7 linked regions of the Oryctolagus cuniculus genome follow. The protein of the gene in region 6 interacts with the protein of the main gene of each other region in a pairwise test. Links are inferred from orthologs where the notes say so. Each region holds a gene or a part of one and is shown on either strand. Other genes may lie near its edges.

Region 1 (3,500 bases), on a different chromosome or scaffold from region 6:
TTCTGGGGAAGCTCTGTGTTGCGTGAGGTCCTCAGGTGGGGTGAGACCCAGCTCCTCAAACCGGGGATGCAGGGTTCTAGAGGGGAAGGGCCTGAGGGGCCTGGGTCAGAGGGGTCCCGGCGGGGTCCCCATTGCCGTGGTGGGGGTCTCACTGGCTCATCCTCCTGGGCTGGGCCTCTTCCCACACTTGTCCACCTCGCCCCATCCTGGGCCAGCAGGCAGCAGCGTCCCTCGGCACCTGGTTAGAAATGCAAAGGTGCAGCCCCACCCTGGACAAAATCAAGCAGAGATTCTGGGCCGTGACCATCTACATTTTCATCTGTATCTATTATTTTTTAAAGATTTATTTATTTACTTGAAAGCGTTACAGAGAAAGAGGGAGGGACAGAGAGGGAGAGAGGTCTTCTATCCACTGATTCACTCCCCAAATGGCCACAATGACCAGGGCTGGGCCAGGCCGAAACCAGGAGCCCGGAGCTTCATCCAGGTCTCCCCCGTGGGTGGCAGGGGCCCAAATACTTGAGATGATCACTGCTTTCTCAGGTGTGTTAGCAGGGAGCTGGATCAGAAGTGGAGCAGCCAAGATGCACAAACCGGCGCCCATATGGGATGCTGGTGTCGCAGGGAGTGCTTTACTCGCTATGCCTCAGTGCCGGCTCAGTGACAGCCGCCACAAGGCCAGTGACTCTACTGCTGGGCGCACATTGAGAATCACCCAGGGAGCTGCTGACTGTCTGGAGGGCCCCTCCCCCACGCTGCCTGCCCCAGAGAGCAGGGTGCAGCCAAAGTTGAGGCAGTCGCCCTGGGGCAAGCTTGCTGGGCTCCACCTGCTGAGTTAGGAGTTAGTGACTCAGAAGGCTTGGAATGGGGCTCTCAAGTCACCAGGAGATGCTGACACTGTGGCTGTTACCTGAGGACCTCAGCCCTGGAACAGCTACTTCTCAGGCATGGCTGTTTGTGAGAATACACGGGGAGTTTAAACAGTAAAGTATCAAGGGCTGGGGCCCACCCTCAGGGACTCGGAGGTCACCAGCCTGGGCAGGGGCGCAGGTGCTGCAAGCCTGCAGCCAGGCTTTGGACGCCAGACTCCTCTGTGAGTGCCCGGTGGCCAGAGAGCCTCCCAGAGTTGCCAGCATCCCACACTTGTTCTGTAAACGTCTGTTGAGTGACAGCTTGGTGCCCCTCTAGCCCCAGGGGCCCCCATTCTACACCTGCGGAGCCCTCCCGGGAGTCATTCCAGATTCTTCCTGGACCACCCCCTTTGTAGCAGTCACGGTCATTGCTTGTTTTGTTGCCTTCTGGATCAGTGATTCTTTTTTAAAAATTTCTTTAAAAATATATTTATTTGAGAGGCAGAGAGAGAGAGGAGGAAGCTGAAGGAGGTGGGGAGGAAGAGAGAGAGAGAGAGAGAGAGAGAGAGAGAGAGAGAGAGAGAGAAACTCTCCTATTTGCTGGTTCACTCCCCAAATACCTGCAATAGTTGGCAATGGGCCAAGTCACAGCTGGGAACTCAATGCCAGTCTCCTATGAGAGTGACAGTAACCCAGTTACTGGGCCCATTACGGCTGCCCCCGAGGCCTGCGCTAGCAGGAAGCTAGAGTTGGGAGCCAGAGCCGGGTATTGAACCTTGGTGCTTCGATGTGTTTCCACTGCTGGCGCAAGCCCAGCCCCATGGATCTGTATTTCTTTCTTTCTTTCTTTTTCTTTTCTTTTCTTTTTTTTTTTTTTTTGACAGGCAGAGTGGACAGTGAGAGAGAGAGAGAGACAGAGAGAAAGGTCTTCCTTTTCCATTGGTTCACCTCCAATGGCCGCTGCGGCCGGTGCACTGCGCTGATCCGAAGGCAGGAGCCAGGTGCTTCTCCTGGTCTCCCATGGGGTGCAGGGCCCAAACACTTGGGCCATCCTCCACTGCACTCCCGGGCCATAGCAGAGAGCTGGCCTGGAAGGGGGGCAACTGGGACAGAATCCAGCTCCCCGACCAGGACTAGAACCCGGTGTGCCGGCGCCACAAGGCGGAGGATTAGCCTGTTGAGCCGCGGTGCCGGCCGGATCTGTATTTCTCGAAGCGTGGTCTGTGGCTCATCTCGCTCCGAATCTCCTGGGTGTGTTCAGATGCGGGTTTTAGTGCTCTTCCCCAGGTCTGTGGCATCACTGGGGAGGGTGGCCAGAGCACGCACATTTAAAATGCATGCCCAGGGGACTCTGGAGTCTGCTACTTTTGGAGGGAGAACCCTTGGTGCGGGTGGTAAGCTTGGGGCAGCAGAGATCTGTCTGTCTTGCCTGCTAATTTATCTTCTAAGCCCCCAGCTTGGCAGTGGGGTGAGGGCATTGGGTGCCTTAGGCAGAGGCTGGAGCTGGCAGCAGTGGGCCTTGGAATAAAGGGGAACAGAGCTGTGGGAACAGAGCTGCTGGGGCTCAGGTGCCAGCCCCAAAGCCCCACGTTAAGCTGTGGCCGGGCTGACTCCCATCTCAGGCGTCCACACTGGCAGGGCCTGAGGACGCAGAGGGGGCATGGGGCTTCTGAGTTCCTGGTGTCCAGGAGCTGAGACACCCCAGCTTCTGATCCAGGGCAGCACCCTCGGGAGGGGTGCTGGGCTCACAGGCCTGAGAGCGGGACCACGGGCGGTGTGAGTGAGGCCCGCAGGTGCACAGCACAGGTGGGCACGGGGCTCTGGGCATGGGGCTCCTGTGCCCGAGCTCACTGCAGTGGGATCTCATGCTGCAGAACCGGAGGACCCCCGGGAGGAGCAGCGGAAGGTGCTGGCGGCTCTGAGGCGGAACCCCACCTTGCTGAAGCAGTTCAGGCCAATCCTGGAGGACACCCTGGAAGAGAAACTGGAAAGCATGGGGATCAAGAGGGTAGGTTCAGGGGCCTCTGTTTGAAGGGCCGACCCCTGTAGTTTAGACCCAAGGTGTTGTCAAACTTAGAAGCGATGGACTCCTCTTTGCCTTGTAAACCCGTCCACCTCATTGGTTCCACTGCAGATGCTCGGTGTCCTGGAAGGAACCCCGCACACCCTCTCCCTCTGGGTCCTGGCAGAGGGGCTTTAATTGGCTCGGTCTGGCTGATGGACAGAGCCCCTTTGTGAGAAGTGTCATCTTCCTGTCGGTCACCTGAGGCATGGATGACCGTGCCTGCTCTGCAGGTGCCTGTGGGTGGGCAGGAACTGGAAGCCGAGTCCGGTTCCGGTTAGGATTGGACTGCGTTGTTCCTTTATGCTTGGATTTGACCAGAGCGTGCACGTGGTCGTTGAAGGCATCATGAAATCTATTCAGGAAAAATACACTTTGTTCCAGTAGCCAAACATCACATCACTGAACTTGCTCCCTGTGGAGAGGAAGCACGGGAAACAAGACATCTGGGTGTAATTCAGGATGGGGCTCACTGAACTTTGATTTCTGCCGCTGCTCACTCTAACTGCCGCCCCATGTTCAGATTTGACTAATGTGTTTCTAACCTCGAGTGAATCCTTCTCTTGTATGCAGGGGCGTCCTGGGAC
Region 2 (4,215 bases), on a different chromosome or scaffold from region 6:
CCACAGTGCTTGGCTTCCTGGAAGCTGTGGGGTGGGTGCACTTGACTTTCAGAGCATTGCAGTGGCGGGAGCGCTGAGGCAGTGAAGAGTGGACAGGTCGGGCTGCCTGCGTCCCACTCTGTGTCTCGAGCCGGGAGGGAGGAGGCAGGACCCACTAGACGGGGTTGGTCACAGATCCAATGAAGCCACACCAGCCGAGGGTGGAGGGGTGCCCGTCACTCGTCCTTCTCCTCCTGTGGCAGAGGGAGGTGCCAGTCTGCAGGAGGGCTCTGCCTCGGAGTCCACACCAGGGCGTGCTTCTGTGCGGCCTGGACCCGCGCCCGCTCACTCTCACAGAGGGATCGCTGTAAAAAGACACCCTGGTCACGTCCCCGCACGTGGCCTCATGGTCCGCAAGCACCCTCCCATGGCCCCTGTGCCTCCCGTCTTCTCAGCACCTTTCTGAGCACTGATGGACAAGTGGGGGCATATGGGACCCAGCACTCTGCTGCTCGGCCAGCCTCTTGCATCTAATATAGTCTAGCAAGTGCTCCATGTTCACACACATGAGGGATTTTAAAACATCTGGGTCTCAGGACTCAGTGGCTTCAGTTGCCTTGGTCAAGTCTGGGGCAGGTTCACCTGGGCTGAGGGCCGGGGGCACTGCAGGGGGAAGTGTGGTCAGAAGGGAGGAAGATGAAGCACAAGACCAGGGGGAGTCCCGACCACAGACACGGGGCTGTGCAACCCGGCAGCTTCCCTGGGCAGTGGTCGCCCAGCACACACGCAGCGGGAGGGCGTCATGGCCGGGCTGACTCTTGCCACTGTGGGCCCCTGGTGGGTGGGTGGCAGGTGCCCGGCAGGCCTCATCACACACACGAGTACACCTATCCACCTGTCTGTCTGCATTCAAGCTCTATTGTTTGAAATGTTTTTTGTTGTTGTTGTTCTCATTTACAAAGTGGTAAACAATGTAAAGGAGGACACAAAAGATTCCCAGACATCCACCCTGGACGTGGCGGTGAGCAGCGAGCTTCACCAACACCCAGAAAGTAGCGCTCTCGCTGGTGCCCCCCAGGTGGGGTGCGCCTCTGCTGAGTAGTCCACTTCCAGCTCTTCTCCCTGAACAATGTGGTGCTGGCACCTTTCCGTGCCCACGCCCAGGGACATGACTCTACCCCACTGTGTGGAAAAGTTATCTGGTCGAACGTCTGCCAGTGGAATTTGGGTCACTTTCAGTTCCTGTACTGTCAAAAACAGTGGCACAATGCAGATTGTAATGTCCTAACTGTAATGTTATCCACTTACCTCTCCCAGGATAAAATCCCAGAAGTTAAGACTACGCCTTTGACATTTGGGCCATCAGAACACCATACACCCCCACCAGCACTATACAAGTAGCCAGGACTAACTAAACCCTATCCACACTTCTGACTTCATGCTGGCCAAAAGCCACTCTCCCTGTCATTTTAACTAGCCTACCTGCCTACATTTGGTTTCTTTTTTCAGTGAATTGCTTCTTTGTTTCTTTTGCTCATTTTTTTTCTTAAATTCCAAAATCCACCCAGTTTTCTTACTGATAGAAAAGTGCTCTTTCAAATACACATACACACATGTTATCCATCTCTTGCCATACAGGCTACAAGCTTTCTCCCTCTTTTGTTTTGTTTCCTTTCACTTAGGGACTGTCTTCATTTTCTTTCCTTCCTCCCTCCCTTCTTCCCTTCCTGGATTCTCTTATATGAAAGTCAGATTACAGACTTAGAGAAAGAGAGGGCTTCCATCCGTTGGTTCACTCCCCAGCAGGCTACAATGGCCAGAGCCGAGCCAGGCTAAAGCCAGGAGTGTCATCCAGGTCTCTCACATGGGTTCAGGGGCCCAAAGATTTGTGCCATCCTCCACTGCTTTCCCAGGCACATTAGCAGGGAGCTGGACCGGAAGTGGAGCAGCGACTCGACCTAGTGCTCGTATGGGAGCTGGCGCTGCAGGTGGCTCGACCTAGTGCTCGTATGGGAGCTGGCGCTGCAGGTGGCTGGAGCCAGTGCTCGTGTGGGAGCTGGCTCGTATGGCAGCACACTTTGAGGAGAGAAACTTCCGAACTCTTCGCCTAAGCCCACCAGGTCCCTGGCGCCTTTGCAACCTCACCCCACGCCTCTACAGCCCGCTCCCTCCCCGCTCCGGGCCTGGGTTACGCGGTGGGGTACACCGCGCGGTCCTCCCATCGCTGTCTCCGACGCCGTCCGAGGACTACTTTTCTGGGGGTATTTCTCACAAGAAGGCAAGGCCGGGGCGGGGAGGGAGGGAGTGAGGGAGGCCGGCCGCCCGGCGCCCGCCCCGTCCGCACACCTGGGCCTCTGCGCTGCGGCGCTCCTCCCAGTCGCGGCAGCGGGCCAGGTCGCGCCGCCACTGCTCGCAGGACGGCCGCTCGCCATGGACGTAGTAGTGGTGCAGGAAGTGCCTGGCGCTGCGGCACAGCTTCCACTCGGCGCGGTAGGCTTCACAGGGGCGCGGCGGCTGCGGCGAAGAGGCCAGGCCTCAGCGACTCCCCCGCCCCGCCCTGCCCTTCCCTGGGAGAGGCCGCCGGGACCGCCGAGCTCTCCGCGCGTCCCCGACACCCCCACCACACTCACCTGCCAGCCGCCGCCGCCGTCAGCCATGTCTGGGCCACTACCAAATCCCCGCTTTCACCCGTCAGCCAATGAGGCATGAAGAAAGCCGGCGCTGGCTGATGGATGGACAGAAGAGCCAATAACTCTAAGATACGACGACGAACTCCTCGCTCGCCTCCTTGAAAGGCACCAATAATCAGCACGCCTGTACTAAACAGCCAATCACAGCCGGGGGCGGGGCCGTGCGAAGAGGCGGGTCCCCACAGGGGGCGGATGGGAGGGCGTGTCCCGAGGCGGGCAGCAGGCACCTGCCTGGTGACCAGCGGGCGTTGGGGGCAGCGAAGCCACGTTGATTTGGCTGCAAGGATATGGTTCAGGCCAGATCTTTTTGGCAGCTTTGTTATCTTCCTTGACCTCAAAGATCCGATTTATTTCTGCAAACACATACAGCTCAACTCTGCGCCAGCTGACCCCCTAGGTCTTCAGCTGCAGTGGTGTCGCCATGGTGTCCACTCAGGGTAGAGTGGCGCTCGCAAAGTGACCGAGGCTGTTTGGGCGTGACGCATGTCCTGGGACCAAGGGCCATCAGAGCTGGCCGGAGCTGGCTGTCTGGCACAGCTGGGGTGGCCAGGGTTGCTTTCCTGAGGGCGTGGGCCATCAGCACAGAGACAATGAGGCCAAGTACAGAAGGGGCCGGGCGTGTAGAAGCTCCCCGGGACACCCGTGCTGTGGGTCTCCCACATCTGTGAACAGAACCATTGGCTGGGGAAACCCCAGGAGCAACATGGAAGGTGGCTCGGGAAGCTGTGGGTTTTTTTGTTTGTTTGTTTTTTAAAGATGTATTTATTTGAGAGGTAGAGTTACGTAGAGAAAGGTGTTCCATCCACTGGTTCATGCCACAATGGCCAGAGCTGGGCTGAACCTAAGCCAGGAGCCAGGAGCTGCTTCTGTGTCTCCCATGCAGGTGCAGGGGCCCAAGCACTTAGGCTATCTTCCACCACTTTCCCAGGCCATCAGCAGAGAGCTGGATCAGAAGTGGGGTAGCCAGGGGCTCACTTACTGTGCCAGAGCGCTGGTCCCCGGAAGCTGTGGTTTTACCACGAGACTGGCTGTTGACGTGCTACCTCACTGTCCAAGTGCCAGGGAGGACAGAGAGGAAAGCTGCAGCAGTAACATCCAGGGCCAAAACTAAACGGCCCAACAGTGGGGTCTCCCCCTGCCCAGGAAGGGGACTGTGCCTCCAGGGAAGGAAAAGGGAGGGTTTCATTGCATGCACACAGCAGGGGTGGCATGGTGAAAACAGAAACCCAGGGCCCGGCCTACCTCCACTCATTATGCACAAAATGGCCACTTGCCAGCCAATGCAATCCTGCACTTGGAGGCCGCCCCACCCACCAAGGAGGGCTTCCACCTCTGCTAGGGACCCTGAGGTCACTGCAGGCCTTCATGCCTTCCAGAATCAGCAATGGCCGCTGTCAGTGACAAAGTGGCAGCTGCACCAGAGGGCAGAGCCTGAAGCAGCGCGACCATCTCTGCTCCTCACTGACTGACACTGGAGAGGGCACCTCCCCTCTCCCGAGTGTGGCCAGGAGCCCCAGCCAGGGCATCTGGCTGGCCTGGATCAACC
Region 3 (3,500 bases), about 39 Mb from region 6:
AAGATCCCTGGGGGACTGGAAGCTGGAAGGAGCAGGCAGGCCTGGTAAGAGGCCCATTGTGTCTCTGTGCAGTCTGTGTTTAAAATATCCCAGACAGGAAGCCTGTGGACACATCTTGTGGACAATGATTTGGGGATGAGCGAACAGAAATCCCAGCAGGTGCCTGAGCAGACGAACAGGGCTGTGAGAAGACACAACCCTGCCTGGTCTCCAGGATCCACTGGCTTACCTGAGAGATACTTGATCTGAGCCATCACATACATGGAGTCGAGCAGAGCTGGTGCTGCCTTGACCACAGGAGTCAAGATCACGGTGACTTGGTTGAGAAGTGGAGCCACGATCTGGCCGGGTGCCCGGGGCTGCGGGAGCACAGGGGACCTGCTGTGTGGTCTGCTGCTCTAAGAGACACTCACGAGGCAGGGCTCCTGCTTTATCCCACACTAGTTTATGACCCGCTCTTCCTAGAGCCTGAGCTCCAGAGAATGGGGACCCTGTTCTGCTCACTCTCGTCTCCCTGGTACCCAGGGTGATGTCTGGCACAGGGTACAGCACCCAGCAGATACCTGAACGACGCGCTGTGAGGCGTGGAGGGGCTACCAAGACACATGAAAATACAGTCCTTGTCCACAAGGGACCTTAACTGGCCTAGAAAGTGGCACGAGCAAGTCAAGATGAACACATACCTTAGAAGGCTCTGGAAAAATGGGGAGCCAAGTTCTAATCCAGGGTAAAGGCAGGGTAGAGGCCAACACCCTCCTCCTCCAAGGGTGCTCCCTGGGCCAGCAGCATCAGCATCGCCTGGGAGCTGGTCAGGGCTGCGAGGCTCTCACAGTCAGCAGTTGCACTGGGACAACCACCTCCCAGCTGATCTGTGCGCCACACGTTCAAGTTTGAAGAGTACTGGTTTCCCCCACCCCAGCCCCACTCCAGCCTGGGGACTGTGCCCTATCCAAACCTGCACCTCAAAGCCCTGCCGTGAAGATGGACCCTTCCCTAACCTGCTTAGGGCAGAAGAGCAAGTACTCTTTCGCCACGCAGACCAGGAAGGGCGGGTCCAGCTTTTCAAAGTACTCGCAGCCCATGGGGAGGCCTCGCATGCCGCAGAAGTGGAGCTCCACGGCCTCCTGGAGCAGCGCCGTGACCTCCTGTTCCCCCTTGCTCTTCCTGGAGGCCAGAAGAGCCTGGAGGAAAACCAGCACCTGCAGAAGCGAGGCCCGAGTCTCAGGGGCAAAGTGGAGGCGCAGGCCACCTCGGCTGTTCCCTGCTGGAAGAGGGCAGTGGGAAGAGGGCAGGGGACACGACCCGGAGCCCTCCACGCCCCCGGGAGTGCTGACCTTCGACTTCCCTAGGGACTGCTGCACCTCCTTCAGGAATTCCAGCTGGTGCCCCGCCTCTTCCAGGTGGCCCTCCAAGATCTGGCACCAGATGATCCCTGTGAATGGACAGAACGAGGCTGAGCAGCCCACAGGGTCAAGGACACGGGTGAGACAGAGGAAGGAAGGTGTCCCAGGGCAGATCTCTCCCAGCGTCTTCTCAAAGTGTGAAACACCCGCAAAGGAAAGAATTCAAATCATACGGGCAAATGTAGAAAAGCAACTCCAGCTCATCCTCTGGCTTAACAATTCTGTCTCTACAGGTGACCACCAGTAAGCATGTGGGGGCTATTCCTTCCAACACTGTTTTAAGTATATGTTATTAATGTACGTACACACACAGATGAGCCTACCAATGGTTTCAAGACGTGCATACACATGGCAATCAAAGTGCATATATACCACCTTACAACTTTATATATGATGGACTTGTTTTCCCATCACTTCATACAAGCCTACCCCATTCTCTTTACTGACAATACACACAATATTCTGTGGATATAACCATTTAACAATTGCATATTTAGCTTGTTTACAGTGTTTTTGTATTACGATGCCATGGTGAGTATTTTCCTATGTTCTAATTCCTGAACTAGAGCTGACGAGTCAAGAGGCATGCATATTTAATATGCATACAGATGGGCAGACAAGGGTTTATCCTAACAGCTGAGACATACATGTCCCATGCTGGAGTACCTGGGTTTAATACCCAGCTTCTAGCTAACACAGACCCTAGGAGGCAGCTGTGATGGCTCAATTGGATTCCTGACATCCATGTGGAAGACTTGGGTTGAGTTCCTGCACCCCAGCTTCATGCCCAGCCTGGTCCTTGTTCCACCCTGACCATTGTGGGCACCTGGGAGTAAAGTAGGACATAGGAACTCTGTCTATCCGCCTCTCAAAAAACTCATTTAATTAATCACCAACAGATAAGGCCAACTTGCTCTCTGGAGTTATCTGAATTTACATTATTGCCAAGAATTTTAAGTGTCCTTTCCCAACAAATTCACAGGCTGATCTTTGCCAATTTAGAAACAGAAAAGGAACCAGTTTCAATCCACATCTTTATTAGGGAGAATACTAATCTTTTCACAGACTTTCCTTTTTTGCTGTGAGTTGCCTGTTCATAGCCTACTTGTTTTTATTTTCGGGTGCTGTTTTTGTCTGACCTACTAAGATGAACCAGTGTTGCATTTTCTACATGCTTCCCACCTATATTTTAACTATGTTTTTACCTTGTCTATCACCATCTAGTATTTATGCAAATAGATAGAATAGTTGCCTCTACAACTTCTGAGCCTGTAATCAGGTTTAAAAATCCTAATTTTATGTTCAAATACTTAATGCACCTGGAATTTGAATATGGTGTGAGGTAGGGAATTGCATGCGCATATATACGTATGCATTTTTTATTTTACGATGGAAAGCCAGGTGTTCAAGCAGGAGTCACTGAACAACCTACTGGTTTGCAACCAGGACTTCCATGTCTCGTTGTCTGTTTATTCCACAGGCGCCGGCCTCGGGCTGACTTACTCTCTGTGGTTTTGTGATACGCTTTGATGCTGAGAGTACCACTCTCGGTTCCTCTTACTCGTTTCACAGATAATTTCCCGGGTGTTCGGGAGCACTCACGCCTCCTCACTGTTGTCCTCATCGCCACCTTGGTGAGTGAGTTACTTCCTGGCCACTATTTGGCCTGCCCACGGGCTTCTACACTCGGTAATGACGTTTTCCATGTTCAGCAACGCTCTTTTGTTCTCTGTGCCTCTTTCATAGCAGTCTGTTCTCAACTTGACATAAAAGCTTGGCCAAACACACTGCAGGTGTTTTGGAGGAGAAAAGTCTTTTCTGCACCCAGCCTCACCTCTGCTGCTCCAAGGGCCACTGCTCTGCATGGTCCACTCGGCCCCTCTTCCAGGCTGCTGGCAGATTTACAAATAAAGGACTAGACCGCTGAGCGCTAGTTGCCAGGCGGATTTCCCAAACTGTTAGGGTCACTAGTTTTCCCACAGCGAGCAGATAGGATGGTGACTCCAGGCACACGAGTGGGTAGGGCTTGGGCTGGGGTGAGTGACACAGGTTTTCTGGCCACTGCACTTCCCTCTGGCTGACTGCTGGGGCTCTCCC
Region 4 (3,936 bases), on a different chromosome or scaffold from region 6:
AACTGGGCTAATGACAGCGGTGTGGGGGGGAACCGGTGGGGCAAGAGGGGGTGCTGGGGTAATTAGACCTCTGCCTGGCACTAGGAGATCCTGAGATGAAAGGGGCTCTGGCGTCACTTGCATGGTTTTATGTCCATGCGTGCAGGTGTGTGTGTGTGTGTGTGTGCATGCGCACACGTACGCATGCATGCAGGGGGATGGGGCTGGTAGGAGACCATCCCTCTTTTGGGGAAGGGGGTCCATTTGGGTGTAGCCCACCCTCCTCCTCAGAGTGGCCTTGGTACCCTTGGATTTAGGTGAGGCAAGCATGGGAGGAAACACAGCTCTTGTGGGGCTGGCAGTGGAGAGGGTACAGCCAATCTCGCCCCCTCCCCGGGCTCAGCAGGGAGAGCAGACTGTTGGGGAAATGGCTGGTGTCAGTGAATAAAAGAGCCGACGTGGAGAAGGGTGGCGTTTGGAAGAGGAGGCAGTGGATCGGGTTTGGCTGTTAGGAATGAGAGGGGTAAGGGGGAATGTGCTCCCCCAGAGGATTAAAAACGGCGTGACTGAAAGTAAAAGGACCTGCGGGAGCACCTGCCCAGCCCTTGCAATTGGAGCTTGAGGAAGCTCTGGCCGGGCAGGCTGCGGGGATTTCCTCAAGGTCACGCAGGGAGTTACCGGCGGAGAAGGGACCCGAACTCCCAAACAAACTCCACTCGACCGAGCACTTGGCAGGCAGACTCTCCGCCCCGTTAACGCGGTGCAGGTGGCTCGTCCACGCTCCCTCCTCCTGCCCACGGTGCAAACCTCGAAAACCCCCCAATCCTCCCGGCAGGCAAAGGCTATTTTTTTTTTTAAGTGACAGCTTTTCCAAATATGTCACCAAGTACAGCTCCCGCCGGAGCCGCTTGCCGGAGTCCGAGCGGGGCGGGGGCAGAGGCGGCCGAGGGGCTGCCGGGCCGCTGGCCGTGGTCCCGGGGCGCGGCGTGGGGCGGGGGGCGGGCGCCGGCGGCGGCGAGGCGGCCTGCAGGGAGCAGCCGTGAGCCGGCCGGGCGCGCCGAGCCCGAGCCCCAGCCGGAGCGGGGCGGGGGAGGGAGGAGCCAGAGCGGCCGCCGCCTCTGCCGGAGGAGCCGCGGGGCCGCCACACTCGCCCCCCGCCCCCCCGCGCTCACTCGCACTCACACCCGGGCGCTGGAGGCGGGCGGCCCGGGCCCCACCGGCCCCCCATGGACGCCCCCGGCACGGGGCGCTGAGACCCCCGCGCCGCTGCCCAGCCCGGTCCAGCGCGCCACGCCGAGGTAAGGAGGAGGGAGCGAGGGGGCATTAATATGCAAATGCCTCGCGATTGATTATGCAAAGCCGCGGGTCCCTACGGCCGGCTCCTGGGCGGGCTGGGGGCGCCCAGGGGGTGCCCGCTGCCAGCCTCAGCCTTCCGCGGCGCCCAGGTGACCCTGTCACAGACCGGGAGCTTGCAACTGACGCCCCAGGGAAGGGAGGTGTTGCTGGGAGGTCGGTGGGCCCTGGGGTTCGCTGGCGGAGATGGCGTCTGGGCCTCCCCCTCGAGGGCCCGCCCGGCCTCAGTCCGGCCGGTCTGCTGCGCGTTCCCAGGCCGGGCCCCGCTGCCGGCCGCCCGAGCTCCCCCGCCCGCCGCGCCGCGGTTTGTTTACGGTGCTCCGGAGGCCTGCCCCCCCCAGCCCCCACCCCAGCCTCGGAGGCCGAGCGGCTGCGGAGGGCAGTGGGAGTGCAGTGGGGAGGGGTGGGCTTGCACCGGCAAGGGGAGAGAGAGACAGAAGTCCCTCCTCCCCTCACCCTCTCCCCAATTAAGCATGGCTCTCTGGTTGCAACACTCCTAATTGCAAAAACGCGGCTGGGGGGGTGGGGGTGGGGAGTGGGGGTTTGGGGGCGCAGTGGGGGCCCGTGCTGGCTGGCGGGGCTGAGAAAGAGAGGGAGAAACGGATCTCTGTTGTGCACCCCCCCTTGTCTCCCTCCCCTTGCAACGTGTCTCTGGTGCCCCTTCTCGGTCTAGGGCCCTCCCTTGTCCAGTGTGAAAGAAAGGCCTGGGGGTGGGGGGATGGCGGAGGCAACGGGGAGAGAGCTGCCGGCTGGGTGGGGGGTTGGGGGGATAGAAACAGAAGGAAAGCCAGTGAGATGGGAGCCTGCCCCTCCATGCTGGCTCCGGCCCCAGAAGGGGGAGGGGATGAAGGGGGCTGTTGTCCAAGATGAGGGGAGAAGCAAAGGTGACATACAGACACAGAGATATGCCCACACAGAACAGCCACATGCACACCCAGGGACACCCAGGCGGACTCAAGGACAGGAGCTGCTGGACACACCCACATGGGACAAGGAAAGAGGCAGGCTGCCGCTGCACTGTGGGAGCCCAGAGGGGCAGAACACACCCACGGGAGACCAGCAGCAGGCAGACGGACCCATGCACATGCCCACACGCAGGGTAACACAGAGATGCTGTCACCCACATGGGCGAGGGGGAGTTGCTGTCACCCACACAGAAAAAGTCACTATGGCATGCATGCATGCACACGGAGCAATTGCACACAGCCACACCGTTACAAAAGACCCTGTCACTCACAGGCACACACGTGCTTGCATGAGCACAGTCACGCAGGCATCATCCCCTGGCGTGACAGTCACTGTCACTCTGTCAAATGCAAGCACAGTTACACATCAACACATGTGTACACAACTTAGCAACAAGTATTTTCTTGGATTCTTACAGTGGAACTCGGAGGTTCTGTCGACAGCAAAACCGCTGCTCCTGAGTAAATGGAATGTGTGTGTGTGAAGAGATTTTTCATGCATCACGATACAAAGCATGCATTCCTGATAGCGCACTCGCTCTTGGTCATTCTGGCTTGTCAAATCACCCTACTGGGAAGCCGACTCCTTAAGACCTGGGAGAATCGCTTAGACAGCTCTGGATCCCACCCAGAGACTAGCATAGGGGCTGCTCTGTAAATACTTGTTCATTGATTGACTGTGGGCAGTGCGGACACAGGTGCACTCGTTGGCACGCAAGCCCATGGACTCAGGTGCACCGCACATTCACAAGGCTCGGGCCATGCTGTCACAGGTCCACGTGGACAGTGTGTCAGACAGCCCCAGGTGCACACTTGCTGCCAGCGCAGTCGGGCACACCTCCATGCCTCGGTGACAGCCTCCCTCCAAGCTTCCTCCTGTCTCCTTCTGGCATCAGCCCTTTGTGAGAGTGGGCGCTTTTTTTTCTTTTGGAGGGACAAGAGAAACAAGAGCAAAGACAGGGGGTGTAGGGGGGTTTCAGAGGGCCGAGTCATGGGCCTGAAGCAGTGTCCAGTGACTTCTAGCAGCTGGGATTGTCCTGGCTGCAGGGGTGGGGGTGGGGGCGTTGTATGGGGGAGAGCTGGCTTCCAGGGAGCGGCTCTCACCCGTCCCCTGAAAGCTAACAGGGGACTCCCACTGCCCTGCTGAGGATGATTTTCCTGGGGACAACTGAGTCCCTGCCTCCCACCGTGCGTCTGGCCCCTTTTCCCACCTTGGCCTTTCTGTCCAGACTTGGACGCTTTCCTTAGGAGGCCGAGTGCTGGCGAGTGTCTGCGTGAGTGATGTGTATTTTTGACTTGGAATTTCTCTCTAACTCTGTCTCTCTTTCTGTTGCTGTGTCCCGTGGTGTCTAATTCTCCCTCTCTCCTTGTTCCCCTGCCAGTCTGTTACTCCCTCTTGCCCCAGCGCTCCCCTGTCCACCCCTGTCCTTGTCTCTGTCTGCCACTGCCCCTTCCCTGGGAGCTGGGAACTGGCAGGGATGGTCTTCATACTTTTCCAGTTGTTAATACTCAAACTCCGGCCCTCTGCCCCGGCCCGCCCCGCCTCTGGGGTCAGCGGGAGGTTGGGGTGGGGGGCGGGGGGCTCAGCTGGCTGCTCAGGACATCCTGTGTTTCCTTAGTGCTGCCGCTGCACAGCCCA
Region 5 (4,078 bases), on a different chromosome or scaffold from region 6:
CCTGACACACACGAACACGCTTTGGGCCCCTCTGCAGTAGTCTAGGGGGCTCTTGAGACCAAACAAGCCGAGAGCAGAGCCCCCGAACGAAGGCGAAGGGCGAGTTTCGCCTGCAGCTGCCCCTGGCCACGCGGGCGCCGAGCGGCACAGGTGTTTTCCCGCGGGGTGAAGAGGGCGGCCCTGCTCAGCGTGGGGCGGTTTCCACCTGCGCTTCCGCCCGGGCGGACCCACGGCTCCGGGGAGAGGAATTCCTCACCTTTGGACCCGGCTGGCCAGCAGACACCTCCCCGTCAGCTGGGCACCCGCCAGGGCGCGGCTCGGGAGGGGGCGGGGCCCGGGAGGGGGCTGGGGTCTAGGGGCGGAGGTCCCGAGGACGCAGGAGCAGCAGCACCCCAGGCATCTGCTCGCACAGGAGGGGGTCTCCACGGCATGCAGGGAGCCCCTTCGCAGGGCGGCAGGGCCCGGGGCTCCCGTCCGCGCCCCCCCAGGGCCCAGGCTAAGCGGGATCCGGAAACCCTGCGTGGACCCCCCCCCCGGCGCCTCAGGCCCCCTCGCTCCCCCCACCGACCCCTGGGGACCCGACGGACGGGTGGGGGCGGGCTGCAGCCGCCTCCCGCAGAGCCCAGCCCACGGAGCCGAGGCGCTCCCTCAGATAAGCGCGCAGAGGCGAAAAACCTGAATTTTGCGCACGAGAGTTGCAGCGGGACCCTAAAAACACGAAAGGGTGGGGAAGGGGGCGTTGTGAAGGGCGACACAACCCAAAGTCACAGCAGGGCGGGGGCCGAGCAAGCCACTCGGTGCCTCGGCCACCGATACGGCCGCGCGCCCAGTCCCCCGCACCGAGCGAGTGACCAGCGCGCGCCGAGCTGCGCCAGCCCAAGCGGCACCAAGTCCCGCGGCGCGCGCCCGCGCGTGCGCAGAAGGCACACCCGCCGGACTCCCTCCTCAGGTGCGCTTGCGCTTCCGGCCGGCCTTCTCTGGGCGGAAACTCGAGCTCCTGCGCATGCGCTCTCCAGCTCTCTGGCGGGGTCCAGAGAGGCGGCCCCGGGCTTCAGGTAATCCCGCCCCTCCCCCGCCGCGCGGGACCAATCGTGCGGCGGCGGGCGGGACTTTGTCGAGGGAGGCCCGCCCATGCGCCCCGCGAGTCGTGTTTCGATTGGTTGGCGCCGCGGGCGCAGGTGCGCGCTTCCTATTGGGTGTGGGCGGAGCGCGAGCGGCCGAGGCTGCTCCGGAGGCTGCAGGTGAGCGCGCGCACGCGCCGCGGCTCTGGCCCGGCTCGGGCGCGCGCGCGCGGGCCCGCGGGGGAGGTGGCCGAGAGCGAGGCTGCGGCGCTGGGAGCCTGCGCTCCGCCCTCTCCTCCTCCGCCGCCGCCGCCGCCGCGGGCCCGCAGGCAGGGAGCAGCGTCCGCGCCCGCCGCGCCGCCAGTGCGCCCCTCCGTCCCGCCGCGTGAGCAGCCCGCCCCTCTGCAGGTGCCTGCGCGGAGCGCCCGGGCCGCGGCCGCCCTCCGAACCCGCGCGCCCCGCCGCGCACTCGCTCCCCGCGCGCCCGAGGGGCGGCCGGTGCCGACGAGGCCGCCGCGGGGCCCGGCGCTCGACATGAACCGCAGCCACCGGCACGGGGCGGGCAGCGGCTGCCTGGGCACCATGGAGGTGAAGAGCAAGGTGCGCGGGGCCGGCCTGGGCGGAGCGGCGGTCGGGAGGCCGGGCGCCGGGGGAGGCCGCGGGCCGAGCCTCGGGGGCCCGCGAGGGCGGGGTGGGGGCGCCGGCTTCTGGTTTCCGAGGTGGGAGCCGTGGGGCGCCCTGTCCGGGGCAGGGCCGGAGGCGCCCGGTCCCCCCGTTCGGGTTCGAGGGGGCGAGCGCCCTTTGGGTTGCTTTGCTCCCGGCCGGGCGGATTCCTGGGGAGCCCTGGAGCGCGTTTCGTCTGCGGATCAGCACCGGCACCCGCAGCGCGTGCGCTGGGGTCTCCGCGCCGCCGTCCGCTGCCCGGGTTCCGAGCTGGGCCCTGCTGGCGGCCCGGGAGTCTCGCAGGCCCCGGTCCCGGAGGCGGGCGGCAGGTGAGCAGGTGGGCTCCGCGGGCTGCGCCTGCCGCGGCTCGGCGCTCCTGAGCGAGAATAATCCAGGCCCTGGGCCGTGCCAGCCGCGGCGGCTCGGAGAGACCCGGCGAGGCCGGAGCGCGTTGGAGGAGAACAGCGGATCGGCTTCCACAGTCGCGAAGCCGCGTGGACGGAAGGGGGCCGGGGGCACGGGGCCGGGGGGCGCCCGGCGGTCCCGATGGAAGCGGGCCGGGGGCGCGGGGCCGGGGGGCGCCCGGCGGTCCTGACGGAAGGGGCCGGGGTCGGGGGGCGCCCGGCGGTCCCGATGGAAGGGGGCCGGGGGCGCGGGGCCGGGGGGCGCCCGGCGGTCCTGACGGAAGGGGCCGGGGTCGGGGGGCGCCCGGCGGTCCCGATGGAAGGGGGCCGGGGGCGCGGGGCCGGGGGGCGCCCGGCGGTCCTGACGGAAGGGGCCGGGGCGCGCGGCGGTCCCGTCCCGCGGCTCTGCGCGGCTCTGCAGCCGGGACGCGGCGGGACGATGGTGTTTGGGCCGGGCCGGGGTGGCTGCTGGTCTCGGCCACCGTCCTGTCGGGGGAGTGCGGTTGTGATCGCGGCGCGGCCTCCGTGGGCCCCGGCGGAGCAGGGCAGGGATTCACATCTCGGGTTTGTGGGAGTTGAGGTCAAGAAAAGGCACTTGTGATATTGCATCACTCAAAATTCCGCTTCCAGGCCGACCTTGGTAGCAAGTGGCAGGGAAAAAATGAGTGGAGCTAGTAGGTGCGCTGCTGAAAGAAAGCAAACATTTCCTCCCGGCGCGGGCTGGCATGCCAGGCTCTCGCCGCCTCCTGTCAGCTGACTTGAGAATCTCCCACATACCTGAGGCCCAAACCGGGTGTTAGGTGTTGGCCTGCCGGCGTCCCGAGGCCTGCGCCGGCCACGAGGTGGAATCGGGGCGGCCTGAGACCAGGCGCCGGGAACTGTGGTCCCGCGAGGATGGGCAGAGCAGTGAGGGCCCCGGCCACCCGTGCCCCTGCTTCTCGATGTCTGTTGTTGATGTGTTTACTTCTGAATGGGTTGAATAAGCTGTTTGTCCTCTTAAAAACCTCTGCTGCGGGAGATTTTTGAAGCACATTTTGCTTTGGTGCTGCTTCGGCTTTCTGGGCTCCTGGGGCAGCCGTGGCTGCGGGCTTGGAGCCAGCACTGGAGAGCAGGCGGAGCCGTCTCAGGGTCCTCGGCCCCTGCCTGGACATCAGTAGTGTCGGCCGGATTACCTTGGCCTGGGAAGGGAAGAATGGTTACAGGTAATCAACATAGTGGACAGTGTCAACAAGCTGGTTGAATTCGTGATACCAGAAACCACGTGGCTTTTCTTTGGTAACTGATTTATCTCCCTAATTGTTTCTCTAGAGTTGGGGAAGTTCTCAGTACTGATGGAGGTGCCCTTTAGTAACCTTGGGACAGTCTTGGAGCCGGAACAGTTCCTAATTACTCACAGGCGAATAGGACATTAAAATTAAGTTGTCATTTCTAAAATGTGCCAGCAGATAGTGGGGGGCGGGAGTCTGACACATTGTGAATGGCTGGGAGGAACCAGGCCGGTTAAACAAAGCTGTGAATGGGTCCTGGAGTGGGGAATGGTTGCTTGAGTCTTGAGTCTGTCTCTTGGCAGCTCTCTTCGTGTGGTAAAAAGTTCTCTACCCTCTTGTTCTGCTGCAGGAAGCGTGACAGTTTCTCTAGTGTGTTTCCCCTGCCAGCATTTACAGAGGGCATATCTGACTTTGAAGCCATAGGGTTTCCCACTATTTTTATCAAATGAGTTAAGCAAGAGAAAAAGGTTGTTGAGCAAAGAATTCTCATCCACACACTCGAGCCGAAGCAGTGAAGCCCCCGAAACGTTAACCTCTCAGCTGTCGTTCCGGGTGGTGAGTCAGGCTGAGTGATAACCCGGAGACGAATCAGGACGCAGCGGCCGCCTGTGCTGTGATGCCAGCCAGGGAATGGGGGAGAAACTGTGACTTCTGATAACATCATAGACTGGCTGATAGGAAG
Region 6 (3,500 bases):
AAACTTTATATATCAGAACTACAACAAACTTATACTTCAGTGGATCACAGAAGAAACACGAGAAAATGTTTAAAAAACAATTTTAAGCTTAAGAACTCATTTGTCAATAAAATAGTTACATCAAAAAAAGAACCCAAATGTTTAAAATTTAGGTATTATATAAGTAACATGATTAAAATTCATACACGTATATGCATGTACACATATGGATTTGATTATCTACTTGAGTAATATCAAAGTTTCTCATATATGGTTTCAAATGTGCAAGGATACTTCAAAGTTAGTAGAAAATGGGGTTAAAGGATAAGTTTATTTGGGTGCAAAAAATTCTGAAATCCATGCATATGAGGGTCTTCAACAAGATCATGAAAAATGCATATTATTAAAAAATTATACATGAATTTCAACTTAATTAATTCCATTTTTCCACCAACTTTCTAAAAATAACACATGTATGTCACCCACAGTTCAGATGGCAAGAGATTAAAGGAACAATTTGTAACAGGAAGAAAGGAAGTTTCAGGAAAATAGGACAGGATATTGCTTGCCTTGGGAAGAAGCACTAGCAGTCTAACACTAAGTAACTACAGGACCATAAAAAAAAAAAAAAAAAAACACTATGAGGCAGAATGGAGTGAAGATACAGTGTCAGGACCAAAGTTTCTAATTCAGGAGAATCATTCCATCCCAACAAAGCAGCTAGTAATTGTAACCTGCTAACTACAGAATGGCCAGAATTAAACAGAGATGAAAAGACCTGCTGATCTTACAAGACCCAGGAAGAAAGTAATTCTTCAGAGACAGGGGAATTAGGAAAGAAAGCCTCTATAAACATTCCAGAAGTGTCAAATGCTGAGAATACAGAGTAAAAACAACCTGAGGTCAACCCCCTCCACTGATGCTGTCCCCATACTGCTCTATCCCCGCCAGCTTTATAATTCTAATGTTGTAGTTCTTGTGTTCAGTAAATGCTCATTGTGCTTCCCAAACTAGAGCAGACAACCCTAGAAAAATAATTGTCTTTAAAATTTTCTTTCTCACTCCTTTCATCAATCTTTGAGTGCTATTCTAAAAAGTAATCTGGTTAATTTCCTGAGAGTATTTCTAGGATCAACAGGTAAAACTACTTCTATGAGAACAAATACACAAAGAAGGAAAACTCAGGATTATTTACCTGTGTGTTCACTACTTCTTGAGATAAGGTTTGATTGAGTGGTGGGTACATTTCAAGTTTTATATTTAAAATTCCCACAGAAACTTTTGATTCTGTGCCTATAAATATAAATAAATATTTAGAACTTCAGAAGTTTAATACTATGTATATTTTAGTCAAGGAAAGCATAATTAAAATAATTTGGAATTTGGTGATTTACTATTTATATGGATAAAAATAAAATTCAACATTCCCTTTAATAGTCATATTAAAAAATAATGTCAAATTAGTTTTTATTTTGTACAAAGTTTCATCTAGTTATAATGAAATTAATTATGTTCTTAGGATTTCTAATAAACATTTTAAGGAAATTTTCTGACCTAAAGGATATGAAATTCTTAATTTTTAACGTCCATAAATGCATAATATCACCAGATTTACATTAAATACAAAATAAAAGCAACTGCTAACACCTCATCCCATCTTCTCTGGGGACAAAAACAACAAAGTATCCTCTGTCTGACATGAGGATACTTCAAAAAACTCATGGAAAAATGAAATTAAAAGATAAGTTTATTTTGGTGCCAAAACAAAAGTGAAATCCATGCATAGTTCCTAACATGCATTTTCCATAAACCTTTTAGGAGCCTTCACATGGTAGCTCCCGTTCACCCCCATTTACTCCTTCCCTTATATTCACATGTAAGTACAAATTTTCAATATACACCTGGACTTAAAGGGTCCAGAAAATATACCTCATCCCAGACTATTATTTTTTAGTGAATCAGTACAAGTTTATTTCTGAGTCATTGCTGTGATTCTCATGTTAGGCCCATTTTTAGAAACAAACAAATATCTTTTTGAAAGCAAATATCCTAAACATAAATAAACTTTTTTCTCTTCTTTTTATTTAAGGAAAACCACTTTCCAGGACTTACATAATAAAATTTAAATAACTAAGGCTATGCTGTACACTGGCCAGAATTAACTCTGTGACTAGGTTTCAATATTAAAGAAATTCCACTGTATGTTAGGCATTAAATATTAGTAAATTTTGCTTTTTAATTTTATTAGCAAAAATACAGCAGGAAGTTTGAAAGATTCTAAGATGACAGTGGTAAATAAAATAGATGTAATCTTTCTTTTCAAAGAATGTAATTCATTAATACTGACATTGAGTAAGATGCCATCTCTTCCAAGCCTCACTAGAGAACATCTATTCTACATTCTGCAAGAACTATCAGTACTCATGGAGATGCATTTGAATTCCAGGGCAAGCTGGAATGAGGAAGTTTTTTAGGTGCATGTGTAATGTGTGTGTATCAAAAAATCTTATTTATCATTTTCTATTTAATAAAATGCACTTGAAAAAAATTTAAACTCTCAAAATTTTATATTGACTTTCCTGAAAAAGAAAAAAACCTTTTCCCTTTAAGGCTACTCTGGCTGTGAGGTGCTACACTAATATTATTCTTTGAGACCTTCCCCAAGACTACAACTGGACTGAAAACCAACTGTAATTCCAGTGAAATTCTGTTTTATAGGTTTTCCTCTTGGTCTAAGAGCCATTTTAAAGATAGAAAATGAATTTTGGAAGAAATTATGAATATAAAGATAACAGTGATACTAATCATCATACCTACACCCATTAGTTCCACCGTTAGATTGGTCACTCCATTTTCTGAGCCCAAAACCGATCGCCATTCCAGAAAATAGGATGCTACTAAAGTGGTCTCACCAAATATGTCTGTTTTGATTAGCACCATATGGATGGGATCACTTATTGACAACATTGTTGTTGAATCAGCCATTCTAGTTCCATCACCTGACAATATAAACAGAAGGTTACATCATATTACATATTGTTAGGCCAACATAAAACTACTTTTATTGAAAAATATACTAAATAATAAACATATATGAAACTAAATAGAATTAATTTGGTAATATCTCAGAAAGCATATCACAAGCCTGGGAATACAAGTACACTCCTAGTTCCATCACTAGCTTCTGAGAAAACTGGCGGAATTGTCAAGTAATCTAGTTACTTAAACCATATCAGTGCTTTTTGATAAATAGATTAATAAGCCCCAGGAACCCAACTTCTTGAGCCACTGTCTGCTTTCTCTCAGGGGGGTGTATTAGCAGGAAGCTAGGCTCGAGAGTGGAGCCAGGACACAAACCCAGGCATTCTGATATGGTATGTGGGCTTCCCAACTGGCATTTTAACTACCAGGCTAAATTCCTGCCCCTGAAAGTCGAAGTTTAGATGTGAATATGTAACTTACTTTTGTAATGTCAAAATTTATGAGGGGCGGGCATTATAGTACAGTGGTCAAGCTGCCTG
Region 7 (3,500 bases), on a different chromosome or scaffold from region 6:
CCAAAGGCCCGCTCTCAGATTAGCTTCTCATAATTGATTTTATTTTACCCAATGTAGCCAAATGTATCATTTCAGAATGCAATGAATTTAAAAATAATTAATGACTTATTTATTTATTATGCACACTGGATTTCATAACCCTTAGCACAGTAAGCAGTTCCCATGTACTTAGCCTACTTAGCTCTCACACGTAGCAAGGAAACACACTTAAGTTGACAAATACACTTATGCTAAGTGGACTAAATCTTAGTCCAGCACTTGTCAATGTGGACACTAAATTTTGATCAGAAATGCTTGATCCGATGAGCCAGCACCAAGGAACAAAGGGTTAAACCCGCTGCCTGTGATGCCAGCATTCCATAGGAGCATCAGTTCGAGTCCTGGCTGCTCCACTTCCGATCCAGCTCCCTGCTATGACCTGGGAAAGCAGCCGAGGATGGCCCAAGTGCTCGGGCCCCTGCACCCACGTGGGAGACCCGGATGGAGTTCCAGGCTCCTGCTTTTGGCCTGGCCCAGTCCTGGTTATTGTGGCTCTTTGGCAAGTGGACCAGCGGATGGAAGATCTCTGTCTCTCCCTCTGCCTCTGTAACTCTGCCTTTCAAATAAACAAATGAATAATTTTTATAAAAGAAATGCTTGATCTGAATTTCAACTGAAATTCCCAGTTGAAAGGGTGGATTCGAATACCCGAGTTGTCTCAAATGAAAGTTTCCTACAAATCGAATCAACCATTCATTTGCATTTGAACACTTGGACAGAGGAGTGTGGTCAGCGGGATATTCATGGAAATTAAACAAGTAACTGAAATCCACTGAAACGAGTTACAGCCGCGTCTGCGGGGCTCAGTGGCCACGCGCGGCCGGCCGTGGCTGCTGTCGTGGACCCAGCATTTCCCAGGTCACAGAAAGTGCTGCAGGGTGGCGCGGCTGTGGATCTGCACGCCCAGGGCGGACCTCTCCCAGGGTCTCAGCCTACGTGTGCCCGGCTCCAGAGACCTCGCGCCCAAGCTGGGTTCTGTTCTGTATTTTGGCTCTGGCCGGGGGCAGGACTTGGTCAGGGATCGAGGCAACCCCCCTCCCTACCCAGCTCCTGCTGTCAGCATCCCTATGGCAAGAGGCTCCAACGAGGCGGTCTCCTTCGAGTTCCCTCCAGGGACCCTCATATGCTTGGACTTGCCCTCCTATCAGGAGCACTCACATTAGACACCCGGCCACCCGCTTTGGAGGACGCAGGGACTCGGGGAAGCCCTGGAACCCCTGAGGCCTCAGTTTCCCTCACTGGCATGGCAGGGAGACGTGACCGTGAACTCCTACCGTTACTGGTGAGGGTTCAGTCAGACAGAACACGCAGCTGTTGGAGTGTCTGGAGGATGTTACTGCCTTCCCCACCGATCCCGCCACAGCTGGAAAGCAAGTCCTGTCCATGGGAATGGCCGACGGCGGGATCTCTGCTCACCTCCTTGAAGGCGTCTCGCATCTCCTGGACGCCAATCATCCCGGCGGTCTCTGCAAGCAATTTGGGGGTCATCAGCTCCACGAAGTCCTCAAAGTCTACACGGCCGCCCACTGGGGACAGAGGAGGTGGGGTCAGTGGTGCTTAATACGCCCCGCCCACTGTGGATGGAGCAGGTGGAGTCAGTGACGCTTCCCACGCCCCGCCCACTGTGGGGGAGAGAGGAGATGGGGTCAGTGACCCTTCCCATCCCCGCCCACTGGGAACGGAGGAGGTGGGGTCAGTGACACATGCCCCCTCCCTCCAATGCCTCAGTTCCAGAAATCTATTGGTCTCCATTGCCCTGCTTTTAACCTTTGACCCCCTTCTACTTAGCCAACTCATGCCCTCCTGTGCCTTTAATCTGAGCCAGTGGGGACCTGATGTGCTATGCAGGAAGTAGCTGGCTCTCTTTAAAGAAGTATTTTTATTTGAACGGGAAAGGGAGACAGCATGGAACAGAGTGAGAACAAGTGAGCGAGCCAGCGACTGACCTACTACCCATCCGTACACTGGTTTTCTCCCCAAAGGCCCACACCAGCTGGGGTTGGGCCAGGCCAGAAATGGGAGGTGGGAACGCAAAGCGGTGTCCCACGTGGGAGACAGAGACCCGGCTTCCTGGGCTTTCATCGCCACCTCCCCGGGCATTGACTGGAGGCTGCAGGCGGGAGCAGAGGTGGGGCTTGAGCCCCGGCGCTCCAGTATGGAATGCGGACACCGCAAGCCACGTCTCAGCCGCCACACAAAGCCCCTATCCAACCAAGCTCTCACTGGCTGAGAGTCACACTCAGTTAAAGGAGCACTGGAAGGCCAGCGCTGCGGCTCACTAGGCTAATCTTCTGCCTTGCGGTGCTGGCACCCCGGGTTCTAGTCCCTGTTGGGGCGCCGGATTCTGTCCTGGTTGCCCCTCTTCCAGGCCAGCTCTCTGCTATGGCCCGGGAGTGCAGTGGAGGATGGCCCAAGTACTTGGGTCCTGCACCCCATGGGAGACCAGGATAAGCACCTGGCTCCTGCCTTCAGATCAGCACGGTGTGCCGGCTGCAGCGGCCATTGGAGGGTGAACCAACGGCAAAAAGTAAGACCTTTCTCTCTGTCTCTCTCACTGTCCACTCTGCCTGTCAAAAATAAAACAAATAAAATAAAAAAAAAGGAGCACTGGAGGCTCTCCCAGACACGGGCACAGTCGTCCCTCGGTGTCTGTCTTGGGGTGTGGTGGTTCCAAGACTTCTCCGCAGATACCCAAATCCGCACCTGCTGAGGTCCCTGGTGTGCCGTGCTGTGGTATCTGCGGAACCCACGTGTGCCCTCCCAAGCCTTAGGTCACCCCCAGACCTCTCACAGCCCCTTAGCTGAGCAGTGTTGCTGTGTTGTGTTGTTTAGAGAACAGTAGGAAAACAGATCCTGCACATCAAAAGCCACTTTGCTTCCGAACGTTTCCCACCCGCGGCTGGCTGACTCCACGGGTGCGAGACCCGCAGACGCGGTCGCCTTGAACTCAACCTTGGTCCCTCAGTTACGAGGAGTCCAACCCCAGTCGTATGCCAGCTTTGTCCTCGCTCTGCTCTCCATCTACAAACCACCCTTTCTGCAACGCTGTTCACCAGCAGCAAGTCCAGTGCCAAGCTTCCTTCTAACGCCCACTACAGCTCCAGTCTTGTGCTCCCCGGACGAACCCTTGCAGTGCTAGGATAACCGGCATTTGATCAGAACCTACTGGCGGCTGAGCCTTCGCCTGCGTTAGCGACGTTGGCCCTTCCTCTCCACTTTCCCACGAGCCAGGGAGGGAGCATGTTCACCCTGCTGCCTCCACGTGACTCGCCATGGCCACGCGGAGTAACTAACAGAAGGCGGACTTGAACCCAGACTTACCTCTGAAAGTCACCCCTTGAGCTACTTCCTATGCTGCCTGCTGTTTCCCCAAGTGTACAAGAACTGTCTCTTCCAGCCTTGGGGTCTTTCTCCCCTTGTATCTCCAACTCTGCGTCAGCCTCCATACCCTCCCCCAGCCT

The links.
Region 1: the proteins of CEP76 (region 6) and DZIP1L interact in binary tests that used the Homo sapiens proteins (3 or more experiments, as listed by UniProt). The link is inferred for Oryctolagus cuniculus from reciprocal best matches to the Homo sapiens genes CEP76 and DZIP1L.
Region 2: the proteins of CEP76 (region 6) and C21H22orf39 interact in binary tests that used the Homo sapiens proteins (3 or more experiments, as listed by UniProt). The two-hybrid records come from large-scale screens. The link is inferred for Oryctolagus cuniculus from reciprocal best matches to the Homo sapiens genes CEP76 and C22orf39.
Region 3: the proteins of CEP76 (region 6) and TTC21A interact in a two-hybrid assay, tested with the Homo sapiens proteins (2 studies listed by BioGRID). The two-hybrid records come from large-scale screens. The link is inferred for Oryctolagus cuniculus from reciprocal best matches to the Homo sapiens genes CEP76 and TTC21A.
Region 4: the proteins of CEP76 (region 6) and THRA interact in binary tests that used the Homo sapiens proteins (3 or more experiments, as listed by UniProt). The two-hybrid records come from large-scale screens. The link is inferred for Oryctolagus cuniculus from reciprocal best matches to the Homo sapiens genes CEP76 and THRA.
Region 5: the proteins of CEP76 (region 6) and PARD6B interact in binary tests that used the Homo sapiens proteins (3 or more experiments, as listed by UniProt). The two-hybrid records come from large-scale screens. The link is inferred for Oryctolagus cuniculus from reciprocal best matches to the Homo sapiens genes CEP76 and PARD6B.
Region 7: the proteins of CEP76 (region 6) and CABP5 interact in binary tests that used the Homo sapiens proteins (3 or more experiments, as listed by UniProt). The link is inferred for Oryctolagus cuniculus from reciprocal best matches to the Homo sapiens genes CEP76 and CABP5.

What each region holds. Positions count from the first base shown.
Region 1 is NC_091435.1:143,615,615-143,619,114, forward strand, and holds part of DZIP1L (cilium assembly protein DZIP1L), read left to right. Parts: intron 1-2,725; coding exon 2,726-2,859; intron 2,860-3,500. UniProt on the Homo sapiens protein: Involved in primary cilium formation. Probably acts as a transition zone protein required for localization of PKD1/PC1 and PKD2/PC2 to the ciliary membrane.
Region 2 is NC_091452.1:27,283,293-27,287,507, forward strand, and holds the start of C21H22orf39 (synaptic plasticity regulator PANTS), read right to left. Parts: upstream 2,801-4,215; 5' UTR 2,637-2,800; coding exon 2,610-2,636; intron 2,494-2,609; coding exon 2,326-2,493; intron 345-2,325; coding exon 216-344; 3' UTR 1-215. UniProt on the Homo sapiens protein: Negatively regulates long-term potentiation and modulates adult synaptic plasticity. Stabilizes the interaction of RTN4 isoform A/Nogo-A with its receptors, inhibiting clustering of postsynaptic AMPA receptors at synaptic sites.
Region 3 is NC_091441.1:108,219,845-108,223,344, forward strand, and holds part of TTC21A (tetratricopeptide repeat protein 21A), read right to left. Parts: intron 1,433-3,500; coding exon 1,335-1,432; intron 1,200-1,334; coding exon 999-1,199; intron 360-998; coding exon 230-359; intron 1-229. UniProt on the Homo sapiens protein: Intraflagellar transport (IFT)-associated protein required for spermatogenesis. Required for sperm flagellar formation and intraflagellar transport.
Region 4 is NC_091448.1:22,366,864-22,370,799, reverse strand, and holds the start of THRA (thyroid hormone receptor alpha), read left to right. Parts: upstream 1-1,136; 5' UTR 1,137-1,277; intron 1,278-3,936.
Region 5 is NC_091442.1:10,162,053-10,166,130, reverse strand, and holds the start of PARD6B (partitioning defective 6 homolog beta), read left to right. Parts: upstream 1-1,278; 5' UTR 1,279-1,595; coding exon 1,596-1,661; intron 1,662-4,078. UniProt on the Homo sapiens protein: Adapter protein involved in asymmetrical cell division and cell polarization processes. Probably involved in formation of epithelial tight junctions.
Region 6 is NC_091441.1:69,554,529-69,558,028, forward strand, and holds part of CEP76 (centrosomal protein of 76 kDa), read right to left. Parts: intron 2,979-3,500; coding exon 2,793-2,978; intron 1,273-2,792; coding exon 1,175-1,272; intron 1-1,174. UniProt on the Homo sapiens protein: Centrosomal protein involved in regulation of centriole duplication. Required to limit centriole duplication to once per cell cycle by preventing centriole reduplication.
Region 7 is NC_091449.1:9,860,622-9,864,121, reverse strand, and holds part of CABP5 (calcium-binding protein 5), read right to left. Parts: intron 1,566-3,500; coding exon 1,456-1,565; intron 1-1,455. UniProt on the Homo sapiens protein: Inhibits calcium-dependent inactivation of L-type calcium channel and shifts voltage dependence of activation to more depolarized membrane potentials. Involved in the transmission of light signals.